Tamandua tetradactyla: one gene and its partner. The protein of the gene in region 1 interacts with the protein of each later gene in a pairwise test. Links are inferred from orthologs where the notes say so. Each region holds a gene or a part of one and is shown on either strand. Other genes may lie near its edges.

What was found.
Region 2: the proteins of OTX1 (region 1) and VWC2L interact in binary tests that used the Homo sapiens proteins (3 or more experiments, as listed by UniProt). The two-hybrid records come from large-scale screens. The link is inferred for Tamandua tetradactyla from reciprocal best matches to the Homo sapiens genes OTX1 and VWC2L.

The regions. Positions count from the first base shown.
Region 1 is NC_135343.1:35,958,046-35,967,104, forward strand, and holds the start of OTX1 (homeobox protein OTX1), read left to right. Parts: upstream 1-5,215; 5' UTR 5,216-5,303; intron 5,304-5,668; 5' UTR 5,669-5,709; coding exon 5,710-5,739; intron 5,740-7,340; coding exon 7,341-7,548; intron 7,549-8,498; coding exon 8,499-8,650; intron 8,651-9,059. Other genes in the region: EHBP1 (EH domain-binding protein 1), read left to right, coding at 1-10. UniProt on the Homo sapiens protein: Probably plays a role in the development of the brain and the sense organs. Can bind to the BCD target sequence (BTS): 5'-TCTAATCCC-3'.
Region 2 is NC_135329.1:189,732,132-189,740,466, forward strand, and holds the start of VWC2L (von Willebrand factor C domain-containing protein 2-like), read left to right. Parts: upstream 1-4,662; coding exon 4,663-5,052; intron 5,053-8,335. Other genes in the region: SPAG16 (sperm-associated antigen 16 protein), read left to right, coding at 576-751.

The DNA of each region.
Region 1 (9,059 bases):
TCTTCAGTAGCGACCGGGCCAGAATCTCGCCCAACATTTTAGAATCCTGGATCCCCAAACCAGAGAAAGTCAGACTCATTGTTGATTTATAGGCTGGATTGTACTTTACCGCCAACACCCCTTTTCCTCTCCTACCTTTCCAGATAATATACAGAACTACAAAATAGATTTATTTGTTTGTTCTTTAAAATCACGTGAAATAGATTTGCACAGACACCTTGTGAGTACTTCATATTGGGGTGTACAAGTTGTTCCAAAAAAAAATATGCTCCCCGTATTCTTTCATTTTTTTCATGGTAGGAAAATTTGAAAAATTTTATTGTGGTTGTTGTTGTTGTTAATAGCATAATGATGGGGGGGGTTCAGAGAGAGGGGTAAGGAAAATGTCATGAATATTTTTTCCAGTCCTGCCATATGTAACATTTACTCTGCTACCTAAATTTTATAGTTAGATCATACTCAATCCACTTATTAAACTGTGTTCTATTTACCATAGGGGTTTTCTGCAGTTGTTTTGCATTTACCATAGGATAACAGAGTTCTTCTCCTCTGCTTTTCATAGAGGATGATCTTTTAACATAGCCTGAAACAAGCCCTGTGATTTGAAGGTGAGGCATGAGGATGGAACTAATTGACATGCATCCTTTTACAAAAGACAGGCTTATCATCTGAGAATGCACCATCTTTTTCTCTGGATAATTATTTATTACATCTAGCTGGGCTCCTCCATTTGTTGGTTGAAGAATGCTGTTAATATTTATTCTGTGTTGATAGAAATCTGTCTTGCCACTGAGTAAATCCCTCCAATTAATATTTTCTTCTCTAACATAGCACTGTCATTTTTTTGTGAAAATGGTTATCTGTTTATTTATTACAATACTGAGTCATATAAATTTTCAATAAAAGCAGAAACTTTCTTACCTTAAACACCGCTGCTGCTTTCTTGCAATGAAAACTTGACACTTTGGCTAAGTGGAATTTGTGTATCCATAAGACTCTACATGTGGAAAAATGGTCCTCTGAAATGCAGGACAGGGCACGGCTGTATTTGGAGCTGAATAAGTTTATAACATCCCAAAGGGGCCCTGCTGACACATGAATGTGAATTGAAGAGCAATTAGTCATATGTTCTTAGCAGTATAAACTATCATCCAGGCAAAGGGTCATCTCTTTTGTTAAAGATTTGAGGAAATTTGTGATTCCACCTCACTGAAAATGATAAAATCTTGATGTATTTTCCACATTATTACTTATTTTCATTGTTAAGTTTTGCACTCTTAAGGAGAACTATGTCTTTGATATCCCACAGTCTGTAAGAACTTAAATGAAAGGAAGGGGGTTATCGTTGGGGAAGGAGGTGGGTGGATAATGTGGGCAGGTGTGTGTGTGATGAGGGAAAGAGAACTTTTAACAAAAAGTTCAGGTTACAGAAAAAAAATTGACGATTTTATGGTAATTTCCATTCAGTCATTCTGCTACAGAAGGGTCCCAAACAAAGCAAGCTCGTTCAACAAGTCTGGAGACTCAGAGGAAACACTTCAATAGAATTTATATTTTAGTCTAGATTTTATAAATACGTATATATTTGTACACACCCATATATACACATATACATACACGTACACACATAAACTCTGTTCGAAAAAGCATGTAGCCGACTCCAGCTGCCTTTCAAAAAGCCAATTAAAACTTGCTACGGTAGAATTTCTTCATGACAAGGATTTTAAGAAAAGTTATTGAAAAGTTATCAGAACCAAGTGAAATCAGGTATTTGCCCTTTTTATTCGAACGGAAGAGCAGAGTGAGCCGCGGCTTTTCCGGGGGTAGCTCTCAGAACTCGGGGAAAGCCAGCAGATGTAGATCGCCCGTCCCGAACAGCCTGGGGCTTGGGCGGCCAGCGTCACCCCCTCGGTTCACGAAGGACTGGGGAAACTTTCCCTCCCGAAGGGCTACTGAGCTGAGAAGTGCAAACCTGTCCTCGCACCGGATTTGCCAGGGCGGTCGGGAATGGCAGCGCCGACCCGCTTCCCGCCCCACCTGCCTCAGTCTTGAGCCTCGCGGAGCTTCCATTTGGCTCCGTGGCGCCTGCACTCCCACCGGCGGCGCTGGAGTGCAGACCCCGGGGACCGGCCGGGTCAGGCCCGAGGCGAGGGCGCCGCGTTCGGGCTTCGCCCGGCTGGCCCAAGAACGCTCTGCCGGGCGTGGGCGCCGGCCCGGGACGCCCAGGGCCGGGGAACTTGAAAGCCCGTACTGCGGGAGGAGAGGCTGACGGCCCGGGAGTCGCTGGGGAGGAGGAGCGTTAGCGGCAGGCTGATTTGAGCACAGCCGGCTGGCCCTTATGGAACTTCTGTCCCTGGCCAGGATCCCTAGGCCCGGAAGCCAAACCCTTCCCCTTGTCCGGTGTCCTCCAGAATCTGGCCGGGCCTCGAGGTTACTTAGCTGCGGGTTCCGGGTCCCGGGTCCCAACTCCCTCTCCCTCTCTACGGCCTGGGGACCTTGAGCTGGGTTCGCTTTTCCTCCCGAAGCGCTGACCTCTTTTCCCCTCCCCGCGCTGCGGCCGTAGCTGAAATAGTCGTGGCTTCTGGCCCAGCGTCTCCCACCTGGACGTTTGCCTAGCGACGATCGCCTCAATCCTCTGCGCCTCGTACAGGAAACTTTCATTTCAGTCTCTCCCTCTCTACTTTCCTCCCTCTCCTCCCTTTTTTCTTCTCTTAATCCCGGGATTTTATGGGCTGAGCATTAAGAAAATTCGCCTGCAATTTGGGATTAGATAAATACTCTCATGGGGGGGGGGGGAATCCCTGCTACTTGATACCTCCCGACTTCCCCCAGACCGGTGGCAGCATCTGGAGCTGTGAGCGCCATACTCCCGCGCGGCGGGCCCTGGGGACCGCGCCGGCACATTCCAGAACGCACCGCTGCCCGATTTAGCTGCGCAGATCCCCGGGCCGGTGCTACGGCTGCAGGCAAAACCGCGCCGAAAGGAGGCAGGAGGCGAAGTTGCGGGGCTAGGGCAAGAACACGCACCCCGGAGCGGGAGGTCCAAACCCAAGCACAGAGCGCACAGGCCCGGGTAGGGCAGGGCTACGGTCGCGGACGCTGCCGGAGCGTACGCCAGGAGTCCCGCACACATCCTCCCACCAAACTTGTCCACCTCCAGCAGGCGTCTTTTCCTGGGCCTGGGGGAGGGGAGTGTATTTTGTTTCTTTCTTTAAACCTCAGCACCATCTCCGTGGCTCCGAAACGCGGGCTACTCTCGACGGGGGCCTTGGGCGAGCCTGAGGTGTGTCCGCCCCGGGGCCAGCGCCGCGCTCTGCGCAGCTTCTTTTCCTTTTACAGCTTTTTCCACCCCACCCCACCCCCCATGTTTTTCCTTTCCTCTCGTTCTTTTATTCTGCTTTCTCTCTCTCTTTCCCTTTTGTGAATGAGCCGCGGTGTCTTTGTTCTGTAGAGAAGCGCCCGTGTCGCTGACTTTTGTGAACCACAGAAGGATCTTGTAAAACCTCCTTTTCTCCTTCGTACTCCCTCACTCCCACCCCTCCTTCCATGCCCCTTTGATTAGATGTTCCCTCATCGTCAAAAAAAAAATGTAATTTCGTTGGTCTGGCGGCCACTTTCTTTGAACATTAGCTCGCTTTCAGCTCCAACTTCAATTAGAAGGAGTTGATTTTGAGAGATCAACAAAAGAACCGACCAAAGCCTTATTAAAGGTCCTAAGAAGATCTCCCGGGCCCTTTGAGAAGCAGTTAAGGAAACAGTGTGCCCTCCATCATATTCTGTTACCGTATTTTATTCGGACTCCAAAGGAAAGTGTCGCTTGGGGGAGGGGGAAACACTTTGATGAGCTGCTGCGGCGGCCCCTTTTCACTCAGCGAGCTCCCCCTTCCTCCTCCTCCTCGCCCAGAGCCCGGTCGGCTTGCGAGGCGGGACCCAGCGGCCCGGGCCGTGCGGGCGCTGGCCACGGCGATGCACCTTGTGGTTCCATGACTTGCCCGCATACCTACTCTCCTTCCTGTTCAAACTTTTCACTACGCCTGTTAGGGGAGGGTGGGTTAGGAAAAAAGGGTAAGAATTCCTCGAAAGGGAGTAAATCCGTGAGTAATAATATAGGAGGAGGTGCCATTTAAAAGAATTACCTTGCTCAGGAGTAGGGGCGAAAGCACTTTTGTGGCGCTTTGAAAAGTCCACTCAGGTGGACGAGTTTGAGAAGTTTGTTCGGCTGGGAAATGGACTTCGCCAATATGAGCAATCCGGTGAAATCGCCTCAAGGAGGCTCACTCCGCGGCACGTGGAAAAGAAATTGAGGGCAGGGGGTCTCATTTTCCAACAGACTGTCCCTGGTAATGGAAACGAGGAGGGAGAGAAATAGACAGTGGGAAAGAGAAAGTTTCCTATCAAAATCTCTCCATTCAGAAGTAAAGTGTGTGTGCGGGGAAAGGAGGGAGGGGAAGTGGAGAGGGGGAACGTTGGACTCGAACGTCTCCGAAAAAGCGTTTAAGATTTTAAAGCACTCTTCGTGGGGACCGGAAACCCCAAGAGACTCCGAGGAGCAGGTAAGTGGGGATGCCTCCCTTGTGGGTGCTCTTCCCGGGCGCGAAAGTACTGAGGTGCGGAGGAGGGATCTGCGCGCCCGGAGCTGCTCTCGCGCTCCGCAGAGTTGCCCGCGCCAGCACAATCCGCCCCCGGGGTCGGTCTGCAGGTGGCTGCGCAGAGGTAGCAGGCGCTGAGGTCCGCGGCGCCGCAAGAGAAGCTGGGGGCCCCGCTCCTCAAGCCCCCGGCCCCAGAGTCCTCGCGGCCACACCCGGTCGCCGAGCCGGGTGGGCTCAAGGGAGAGCTAAGAAACCGGTTCTCCAGCACCTCGCCTCCCTCTGCCACTCCCTTCGGAGCGCCAAGAGGGCGGGAGAGGAGTGGGGGCCCCTGGACAGGCCCCGGGACGGGCGCCCCCTCAATGGCCTGGGCTTGGTCGCTGCTCTCGCCTTCCTCGTCTCGATCTGTTTGGTATTTGCAAACCGAGCCCCAGAGTTAGCGCGCGACCGGGGCGGGGGTGGAGGGAGGGCGGGGGAGGGCGGGGTGCAAGGGGCGGGGGAGGGCGGGGGCGCGCAGAGGTAACCCCCGGCTCGAGCTGCCATTGCCCGGCTCCCTGTCACTCAGCCCGCGCGGGGCCCTGGATTGGCGGCCTAGCCCCGTTACGCACTCGGCTCGCATTCACTTACCCGGGGAGGGCAGTAGAAAGGTGATCAATCTTCATCAAGCTACATTTCCAATCACCTAAACAACCAAGCAAGACAAGCTACTCCGACCAGGTAAATTGCTTGATTTACTTAGTTTGAAAAGTGCCTCTGCAGGACTTCTCCAGGCCCTGCTGTCTCCCTGCTGCCCCGAGAGTGCAGCTGTAAAGGCGAACCTCCTTCCAACTCTATCCCCCGTACCCTCCACCCTCCCCACTCGCGGCTGCTCGGCGCGGTCTTGGGCGAGGCAATGTCCCGGGAGCGTGTAGGGCTTTGCAAACAAAGTGTGCATTAAAGTGAAACCTGGAGGAACACGCACAAAAGCCATTGGGTAAGAAGAAAGAAATGGGAGGAGGGAAGTTGGGGAAAGAAAGAAATCCCGGGGTCCAAGACCAGCCGCCTGGCCCGATGCGTAATTCCTGTGCGGCTCTGTTTTGCAGGTTGGCGGCCGGGCGGGTCTCTGTAAGGGCGTGAAGTGTAGATGGTGAGAGGCCGAAGCGGCAGAGAACAGGTAAGGAGAAAGACGCGGGGTCGCGCGGAACTCCGGGAGCGCATTGATTGCTCTGTTTTCCCCCTCCTCTACGCGGTACCCGCTTCCCCCAGTCCTGGGCAATGGGGCGGGGCCGGGGGAGCGGCCTGGAGCCTCTCTAGGTGTGCGGAGGGCCCCAAAGCGGTGCTACGACGCTCTGCCCCCTCCCCCGCCTCCTCCGAAGTCGCCGAGCCGAAGTTTGGAGGAAGTCTTTGAAAACTCAAGGCAGCAGCCTAGCAGACCCTCCGCGCTTGAATCTGGTTCTCCTTTGGTCCAAGAGTACCGGCTGTTGCCCTCTTCTTCCTCCCCTTCCCGGCGAACAGGGCTCTCTCAGTCCAGGCTGAGGGTCCCGGCGGACCCGGGTGGGGTATGGGGGGAGGTAGTGCGTCTTCAGTTCAAACTTCTCCTGCGGTACTCCCTAACCCAGGTCCCGAGGCCTGCTTTAAGAAAAGTTCCCGCCAAACGGGGTGGAGCGACAAGGCCTCCTGGGCTCCAATCCAACTTACCAGAATCTCTTCCTGACCCCCGAGTATAGCGCCTAGGGTTCGGAGCAGTTAGGGAAGCGCAGCTTTGACCTTCTGGCCGGGATCAGCGCGGGCCACGCCGCTGAGGCCTAGTTCTCGGTCGGGTCCGGGATCGCGGGTTCAGGGAGTAGGGATAGGCAGGCAGCGCACGGCGCTTGCCTCAACCCAGCCTCCCAAATCCCGGAGACCCTTTGGATTCGATCAGCCTTCAGACCTGGCCGGGACCCCATTGTCCCTATACAGGACCCGGCAGAAAGAAAGCGCAGACTGCGCCGCCCAATAGAGGCCCACAGCCCCGGCTGAGGTTCCCCGAACTACGGGCCTCATCTTGGAACTGCCACCTCTACCGTGACCCCTTCTGCCTCCTTTGACCGCCTTTGCTGGGCCTAGGTGGATAACTGCGGTTGAGCTGTGGTGAGATTCCGGCACAGCCTTTCAGTGACTGGGAGCAGAGAGGTTAGCTGTAGGGTTGGCTGCGGACGCTGGGGCTCGGCCCCAGCCACGGAAACCTTGAGGGAGAGCAGGCCCCCGAGTGAGCAACGCGTCCCACAGAGGCCGACGTGCGGCCAGTCCTCGCAGTGCCTTGCTTTGGCCCTCTGGAATCTTTACTTTTTATCTCACTTTCAAAAGCAATTGAAACAAAACGAAACAACCCCTCATAGCTTTGGCAGCCTGAGGCCGGCCAGGGCGCCGAGTGAGTGTTTGGTGGTGCAGCCTGAGATCGGCTCCCGCCGGACTCAAAATTTTAGAACCTTGCACTCCGGACGATTTCGGCCCTGCTGTCGCCCTTAGCCTGACCGGGTTTTTCATCAATTCTCAATCCCCCCTGCCGTCCTGCCAGAGTCTTTGGCCAATTTCAACTCCGAACAGAGGCAACGACATCCAGAAACGTTTTTCAAGGCTATGGTCTCTGGACTTAGGGCCTTGTGGATCAGAATTGATGCCTCTGCCCAGGGCTTCATCTTGCTCCCCCTTTCCAACCAGATCTTTGTCTCGGGCAAGACTTGGGAGCTGGGGTGGCTCTGAATTACGGTTTCCCTGTGTCTCGTATCTTCACAGGCCCGGTCCCCAGACGCAACAGAGTTCAAAGGACTGAGCGGTGGGAGTCCCGCACCGTGCCCGGCCCGCGGCCCCCTGGATCCGTCGGGGCGCCTCCACCCGGCTGTTAGCATGATGTCTTACCTCAAACAACCCCCATATGGCATGAACGGGCTGGGCCTGGCGGGGCCGGCCATGGACCTGCTGCACCCCTCCGTGGGTTATCCGGGTGAGCACCCGCCCTCCCGGGCCCCTGCCCCTGCAAACGTTGGGAACACCCAGGTTACCGGCTCTGAGCGCATGCTTTTATTGCCGAGAAGGCCCAAGAAGCTAGTTACCTAGTTGTTCACAACACAGAACCCACTGCTGGCCGCCTGCCGCAGCAGCGTCGCGGGTGGGTGAGGTGGGTCAGGGCGGCGAGAACTTGTGATGAGCACCTTCCCGGCCCGGCCACAAGAGCAACCTGTCTCCTATTATGCTCTCACTGCCAGGGCAGAGCGCATTTACCCGCGAATTCGTTTCCCACGGGTGGCTATTTTTTTGTGTGTGTGGATTTATTCCTTTTCCCCCAACGTTGAATGAGGAATCTAGACACTTGCTAAGCCCTAACGAAAAGCGCTTGGCCCTAAGGCCGAATTTTCCTAATCAACGCGACGGGCTGGGCTGGGCTGAGGTAGGCGAGTTCTCCTTCCCTAATGAAATTGTGCCCAGGACCAGCGGCCTGCACCAAAACCGCTGAAGGGAAGGCTTGAGCCGAACCCTGGGTTTCTTTTCCGGCTCCTCCTTTACCCCCATTTATTCCCTCAGAATGTGTTTTCCCGGTGGTGTTTCGACACACCTCTCCAACACCAGGCCGGGGCGAGGGGGGGGGGGGGGGCGGCGGGCTGGAGGGGACATGGAGGAAGGGAACTACCCTACCTATTTTAACCTCTCGGACGCAGGGATGCGGGCAGGCCCGGAGCCTTGGGGATGCACACACACACACACTTTTTCCCACCTGTGGCCTCTCAGGCTAGGTGAGTTTCTTTTCTAGGACTGGGAAGTTTCTTTACTAGGAGCTTGGTTTTCCCTTGCCGATGGCCCGGCGCAGGGCCTGCCAGGGGCCTGCCTGCCCGCGTCTTCTTGCCCCGGTCCGCGTGGCCTCTACTGACCCAAGGAGCCCCCCGCGTGTCCCCACAGCCACCCCGCGGAAGCAGCGGCGAGAGCGCACCACTTTCACGCGCTCGCAGCTGGACGTGCTCGAGGCGCTGTTCGCCAAGACTCGCTACCCGGACATCTTCATGCGGGAGGAAGTGGCGCTCAAAATTAACCTGCCCGAGTCCAGAGTCCAGGTGCGTGCACCCAGGATTCTAAAGTCGTAGTTGGGGAGCCGGTGCTGGTGGGTGAGGGCAGGCTGGCGGCGGATCTCGGGGAGGCGGAGGATGGTCTGAGTGGGGGCGGTCTTACAGCCTGGGCCGTTCCTCTCAGACTCCCCCTAGCGCTGGGTCCCTCCAGGAAAAGGGGACAAAGTTAAAGGAAAAGGCTTAGATTACTTGGATAGCCGGGTGCCTTCGTTATCGAAAGCACTTTTTAGGAGAGTGGGAGGAAGAGAGAAGATTCTGAAAGTAAAGTGCCCTGAGGGACCCGACACTTGCCCCTGCTTCTTTAGCCGCCCCAGAACTTGACAATTTCATTCCGGGGCTTGAATGCTGCCTCGGTCCTGGCCTTGCATCCCTGTGATTCTGGAACTGGAAGAATGGA
Region 2 (8,335 bases), on another chromosome or scaffold:
TTAACAGAATTTCGAATTTTAAATTAGAGTGAAAAGGCTAAGGTATCTTTGAAATGAGGTATTTATTTTCACCTCAACTCCAAAAAATATTTTTATGAGTATCACAATTTTGAAAGCAGAATTGTATATATTATAGTTTAAGTAATGATCATAATAAAGTTTAAAACAGAATATATATATATAAATTATCTATGATGTATATCTGTCACAGATATAAAATGTTTTTAAAAAAACTTTTTAACATATAATCATTTGAAAAAGAAAGCCGTTTTGCTCAGTTTCTTTAAGTCTCATATTCTCAAAATGTTTTATTAATTACAGATGTAAGGAGAATGGCAGGCACTTAATGACCTTTGCATGAAAAGCAGGTAGAACATTAGGTTTCACTTACTCATTCTAAAATTATGTAATTGAGTTAATTTTGACAGATTATTTCCTATGGAGACAAGTTAGTTCATATTTAATAATTGTCATCTAACATAAAATGAATGTTGAATCACACTTGAAACAAAACAGAATGTTCTATTGCAAACTGTGACTAAAATAAAACTTTGATCTCTCTCTCTCTCTCTCAGGTCGAGTTTTAGCTCAGGCGAGCGGCAATGGGATTATCCATTTGCTAGATCTTAAATCAGGGCAGATTCACAAATTGTTGGGCCACGAGGGCGAAGCACACACGGTGGTGTTTTCTCCTGACGGGGAGAGTCTGTTTTCCGGAGGCTCTGACGGCACCGTTCGAACGTGGTCTTGATGGCCAGCATATCCCACTGCGGAAGGCATTCCCTTGAAAATGTCTAGCGTAGTCCCAAACCAGTAAGTGGTTGGTTGAATATGTCAGCAGGTAAAATTTACAACTTACGTATTTACATTAAAACAGTCTTGGGTTATATGTTTTTGAGCTCGTACTGTTACCAATTAAAAAAAAACTTTCTGCATATTCATTTGTGTCTGTCTTTTTTCTATCATTTTGATAAGAATTTAGAGAAAGATATTTCCTAAGGGTTTGGTAGAAACAGCTTTACAATGACGCCTAATGACAGACTAGATGAATTACAAGAGCTTGGATTTAATGCTAGAAAACAAACTGCAGGAGAACCCGGCTACTTTTTCTTCTTCTTCTTTTAATTAAATCCTAGCTGCAGAAAGATCTGAAGTTTAATCGTGTAGCACTGGGAAAGTCCTTCTGCAACCAAGTGGTCAAATACAATCGTCGTGCGTTCATTTTTACAGATTCTTTGACAATGATTATGCCATATCTATTAATAATAATCGGAGACTGCAGATGGCTTGAATCTAAACGCAAGCCTCTTCCGGAACTTTCATCTCTGCAGCCCATCCAAGAATGCATTTAGTATAATTGCAGTGATTTTGGGGGGGGGGGGGAGTTGTAATTTGAATGCAAATAGTATCTCACACGTAGCATGCCTTCCCGCTTCCTAATGCACGTCCGTTGTATAGAGAAAGTGCTGCTGCTTAAGAGAACGCTCTTGCCTTGGCTAGAGAAGCAGCTAGGGGATTTCGACCGAGCTGGGTTTAGAAGCCAGTTGTTGGCGCTATCCGTGGTGCTGAGGAATTCCCGGCTGCCGGCAGAATGAGCTCCAAATCAGCAGTCGCAAACTGCTCTCATTGATGCAGAAATCCAGCTAAAGTTGCTCCTTTCCTTCACGTCCACAGTTAACATTTCCTGGTGTTTAAGAGGGGAGTCAAGCAACATATTGTGGATGATGCTGATTGTGTTGCCAGCGGAGCGGACTTTAAGCTACAGTATATTGTTGCTGTTTGTGATCCTGAGAGCCTAGCCAAATCACCTCTACTGCCGTAGCAAACACTGTGTAAGTGAACTCATGTGTGGAGGAGGCGTAATAAACCAGGAAATTTCATAGAAGGATCTGGGAAAATGCTAAAAATAAGTTCAACATGATTCTCCTACTGAGGTCTGGATTTCTGCAGAAACAGCATTGCTTCTTGCTTTGAATTCTGAAGACACGTCCAAAGCTTATTTCTTATGTGTGTCTGCTGTGTTTCTCTCTGGAAGGGCGGGAGACTGCTTCTTGACTGTATTTTGAAATGGGAGGTAGACAGAATGGATTGCCTATAATTCATCCCTGAAAATGTATTCTTTGGGTTATTAAAGAGGAACTGCTTTCCTAAAACATAACTGACCTTTGGGTTCATATTGATCTGTGACCCCCACCACTACCATTAACCTCCAGAGTGATTAGGTAAGTGTATCTTATGGCATAAGTTATGCTTTTTTTTTTTCCAAATAAATAGATGCAGTCATTTTAAATCATATGTAGCAATATAGGGAGGGGGGAAGTATAACTGGGAAGTGAACCTCAGTTTAGCAATGTTTGCTTAGTTATTAAAATCTTCAGATAAACATTTCATTAGATTTCTTTAATGCTTCTTCTCTTAATAAATAATATAATAAATTGCACTATAGCAGCTCAGTTATGAATAGGGTTATTTTTTTTAATTTCCTTGGAACTTTGTTATATTAAAAAAACTCGTTTCACTCATACAGATTTTTAAATGCATTTCATATAATAAATCATGTTTAATGTTTATCTAAAGTGGGTCTACACCATATTTTAATTTTTTAAGTTTGAATTTACCATAACCTGACACATTAATGCCTACCTGTGGCTTGCAAAGAGATCATTTTCTGAGTGTGTCCTTTAGCAGCAGAATGATATGTGTATTTTATGTGGCTTTTCTTGCACATATTGACAAATACTACAAGAATATTATCTGGAAGCCCAGTGGCTTCCTTTTCTTCCAAGATAAACTTTCAAAATACATGAGAAATGTATAAAATACACACTTTAATTTGTAAAATATATTTATCTCTTTTCAGAGGTTTCTGTTTTGTTTGTGGCCTCTGTAGTAATTTAAGAGAAAACAACACACTGTAGTCAAAGGGAGCTTGCAGCTTCTCAAGTAGGATTATAGGTTTGCATATTCTTGTTCTGTCATGACTCATTATTTTTGGCATATTTTAAAAGAAATCCATCTTCTTTATCATCACCTACCCAGAAGGAATTCTGACATCAAGGAGCAGTTTTCTCTGAAAGGAGAGTGTGACTATACTACCTTCCATTTTACTATTACTAGAATTTGCATATCTAGCTTAAAATGCACAATATGATACAATAGTTCATAAAAGTTTCCTAAAGCTATCTTGCTCTTAATTAAAAGTACCATCTGTGTATGCTAGATGGAAAAGAGATGGTTTATCATTGTTCTTGTAATAATCTGAAAATAAACCAATGAATGACATTTATAAATGATCTGAAAATGTCCTATATACAATCTTAGCAATATTGGCATTAAGCCAGTAGCATTTAAATAGATAAATGAACTGTTTGCCAACACTTTTCCTTATCTGTTAACTCCCTACAGGCGGTTTTCCCAGGGCCTAGTGTAACTTGGTCACTCTAAGCATTTAAATAAGAGCCTACTACAAACACTCTATACCAAGCACTAATGTTAAGTGAAGTTTGCAAGAGTTAATGCCACCACATTAATAAGGCATATTTACTTTAAATGGTAACACCTCATTATAGTTTTCAGAAACTTCCATAAGCCCAGATTACGCTGGGATTTCAGAGTGCAAATTGCAGAAATACAAACATTTTTGGCATTTCCAAAGAGAGTTGTGCTTTCAAGACTGTGTAAATGGTATTTATTTAATTGAAGTAATTAATTCAAAAGTATTACATGAATACTGTATTCAAAAATACTGTAAAAGATTCATAGATACATCTTTCCTGCCCACTAGGAGCTTACCTACTGAGTGAAATAAAAATGTGGACAATACAAATAAATTTTTAACTAATCCCTCTCAATATATGGAACTCTATTTTATTATTTATAATTTTAAATTTCATTTCTCTTATTCAATGTGGAATCGTAATGCTGTTCTTATTCTTAACTATGTTTCAAAATCCAGATCCAAATTTAATGAGACAAGTTAGCCCATAGTGAGACTATTGTTCTCCAATTATGGGCATATGGAAGCAGGAAAGCCTTTGTACTAGCTGTGTCCCAAACATAATTTACACTTAACTGTTATTTTTATTCCCTTTCTTTTAGAATTGGAATTCTTCTCGCTATTCTCATGGGTTTTGATACAGAAGATTGTAATATATATACACACACAAATATACACACATATACATCTATATGCATATATATATATCCTATCACTGACTAGTCCAGTTTTAAGATAAATATAGAATGTGAATTCAAATATCAAATATTCTTGGGCTATTTATAAGTTGTCATAACCTTTTCAAGTTCAGTTAAACCATTTATCTCTATTTAGACAAAGCCAGATATTTGAAATTCAGAAGGTAAATTCAAGCTGAAGTTTCATAGATAAAATATACCATCATTTACAAACTTTAATACATGCATGGCCAAGGATCAACTCTCCAAACTGCATAATAAAGTATAGATAATTGCATGCACTTTGTCTCTCAGAGGTCTTAGTATCCTCCAAATTGATCCCAAACAGATTAACTGAACCTAAATTCTCTTTTATATGTCAAACTATTCTTTTTAAATATTTATTTTCAGCCTACCCTCTTGTATTCCCATGGAAGCAGCTGGGTATATTTAATATTAGGAGCGTATCTGGAAGTCTTTGAGGAGGGGATGGCTCTTCATATTCATGAAGCCTGCATACTTTTGTTGATCATCCCGGGACTGGTCACCTCTGCTGCCATCAATCATGAAGATTATCCTGCTGATGAAGGCGACCAGACCTCTAGTAATGACAATCTGATCTTTGATGATTATCGAGGGAAAGGGTGTGTGGATGACAGCGGCTTTGTATACAAGTTGGGAGAACGATTTTTCCCGGGGCATTCCAACTGTCCATGTGTCTGTGCTCTGGATGGACCCGTGTGCGATCAGCCAGAATGCCCTAAAATTCACCCAAAATGTACTAAGGTGGAACACAATGGATGCTGTCCTGAATGCAAAGAAGTGAAAAACTTTTGTGAATATCATGGGAAAAATTACAAAATCTTGGAGGAATTTAAGGTATGACTGACCCTCTATCTTTGTTGAATGCTAACTCTTTCATATCATACGCTTAGATTGCTACGTATAAACTAAAGTTGGAAAAACGGGTTTTAAAAATTTCCCTTTAGTTTAAAGCAATATGATTCCAGTTAGTGTAAGAAACCTTACGGTAAACAAAAAGTGAATTGGTTTGTTGATCACGCTCTGTAAGGTTTTGCAATAACCTTTTCCTTCAGTATGATTTGCAGCAGGCTTAACATCTCTTTATGCATTTCTTCATTGTTATTCCAACACACGTCTTCTGAGGGAAACTTAATTTTTTTGGTAGACTATTAAATCAATTTCTAAATTTTATGAGGATTTTTTTCATGGCTTATTATCCATTTTTGGAACCCTTCCACAATAGTCTCAAATTATTTACTTAGTATGTGAAAACCTAAAGCTACAGAGACATACTTCTGAGCTGTGGTCTTCCTAAGAACATGTAATGGAACTACTTATGTAGAGCATGGCCCCCATTCTGGCCTCTGCTTATTAGAATTTTCACTTTCAGTACCCCCACAGGTATCTGAATTTTTATCTTAGTCCATTGTAAAAGATAGTGAAAAAAAAACCTAATTCTATAATTTCCTCACTACCATGGTATTTCTTAGGCCTTCTTTTTAGAAGGCCTTCTTCTTAGGCCTGTGTCATATTTTCAAGAAAATTGAGGTTCATTTTTATCTCTTCTTGGATACACTTTTCACCAACAGCTAATTCTAATTAGGATGTCCTACAAGGCAGATCTGAACCTTGAGGGCATAAATTAACACATCAAAAAATCTTCCTTGAATGTAATGGCAGTTTGTGCCGTGGGGTGTCTGTCATACTGATGGCTTGATATAAAAGGTTTTCATTTCTTCTAACCACATTCTGTGACAAGGTGCTCAAAACCTGATAGGTCAAACAAGATATAGATCTTAGTTGTGTGATTGTTTATATTTGAGAAGATGACTCAGTTAGAAGAATGCACTGGCCTAACTTCCTTTTCTGCAAGGATCAAATGGTTCCAAAGGCAAAGAGGTGGAAAAGGGAGCTTAGCTAATCATGATCAGAGTGGAATGAGTCTATGTGCTGACATTTCATCACATTCAATTCATTCCAGATTGTGAGTTCGAACAACTTCTAAGTTATCCAAAAATACCCAATTGGTTTAACTAGATTCCCTAGGTTAAGAGGGGTAATTCAAACAATAATTAGTACATTCAACCTTCTTATAGATGTTTACCTAGATTTTTCTTTCATGTTTTATGTTATTATTTTGATGTAGCATATTAAGAAGTAAGAAGCTTCAGGGTCTAGTAAAATTATAATTATTGACATCAAATGATAAGAGCATAGTACATTTATTAATTGTCTTATGTCCTCTGAATTATTGTATACACTTTGACATTAACTATTTTTACTTTTAGGTAAGTGGGAGTAAATGCAAGTATTCAGCACATGATTTGATTCTAGAAATGGTTCTACAATCATGTCACTCTCTTCTAACATGCATATATCTCTAGAGGAGAATGCAAAAAGGTCTGGTAGGAACAATATTTCATGGCTAGGCCAAACAAAAAAAAGAAGCCCAGCAGATAAAATTTCTGAGACCTATATACTTTGGTAATCAGTATTTAATAAAGAAGAGATTGGCTGATTGTTTTAACTTAGTCAATTCCCTATTAAAATGCTATAAATTGCAGAGGTAATTACTATTTTTAGCATCTCAAATACTACAGAGATATATAAATCTACCCCTTTAATTACATTTCCCGGCTGTAATTAAATATACTACCCATTAATATGCACAGCATTTTCTCCTGACTCTATGTGCAAGGAGATTTTTAAATGGGAACTGAAAAAGAAGAAAATAGATATCACTTTTCACAAGGATTTAAAGAGTCATAAAAAAGCTTTAGAGATTATCCAGGGCAAATTCCTCATTAAGATAACAAAATAAGGCATGAAAGTTTAAGTTACTTGTCCAAAATTGTCAAGTTATTTTTAACCTATTTCTAAGTATTGCCATTCTAACAATAGTCTATACAATCTCTTTAAGTAATTTGGCTCTAGAGTCAGTTGACCTGGATTCAAATCTGAATCCATCACTTAGTTATGTGGCTTTCTCAAGGAATTCTTTAACTTTTTGAGCCTCAGTGCTATTGGCTATATAATGGTCATAATAATAATACCTCTCTGTGAGGAAATGTTGAAAAGATTGAATGACATGACTTATGAAAAGATACTAGCTTTGTGATGACTGCTACAAAAAACGTGTTGACTAAATGGCTGTTGCATTCCCTCAAAATTGTTTTCCTGGGAGTTACTTCAAATTCTAAATTTCTCTGTGTTTTTACCCACATCTTATAATGAAAGCTCAACTTTAAAAGTCATTCAATTGAGGGCTGTGCACTGGCGGCTCAGTGGCAGAATTCTGTCTTGCTGTGCCAGGGACCCTGGTTTGATTCCCAGAGCCTGCCCATGGGTCAAAAAAAAAAAGTCATTCAATTGAAAGAATCCCAATACCTTTAAAAAGTTCTAATTATCTTATGAACATATCCCTAAATAAATGTTAGCCATAAACTGCCACCTTGGTTTTCCCCCAATGTAGCTTCCAAGAGACAGAAAATTAGCTTTTGAATAATATAAAATATATATTATATTTTCATATAATAATCTTGGCCAGTCATTAAGAAGGTTGTATTATGAGATATTCTTTGCATGTAACATATTCAACAAACATTTATTGGGCTCTTTAGTAAACAAGAGAGTAAATGTACTTATATTAGAAAGTAAAATATCTAAGTGGCAAAGTCTCCACTCACAAGGAAGGAATAATCAATGTACAGGAGGAAGAAAAAAGGCCTAACATTAAGTATATGGTTATGAAGTTTCAAAATGAATTCCAAAGGATTAGGAAGTCAGAAGCTTATCAACAGGGTGTGAAGCTTGGTCAAGCAAGACTCCCTTCTTCCTTCAGTGTATTCAAAGTTGCCTGTTCTTAAAGATGTATTTAAAGTTGATCTGGGGAGGTAAAAATTTCAAAGAGGAAACCACTTGAGCAAAATCAGAGATTGGGATGAATAAAATCTGCAAAGAGAAGAAGGAGGTGGGAATAACAGGAAGCTGATGCTAACTAAAAGGCTATTGTAGTAAGGGGGAGGTAAATGGAGATGTATTATTGGATGGTAGATGGCAAAGACTTGAATACTGGACTGAAATATTTAGTTTCAGTCTGAAGAATAGCAAGGAATAAAATATAGGGGGTTGTACACGA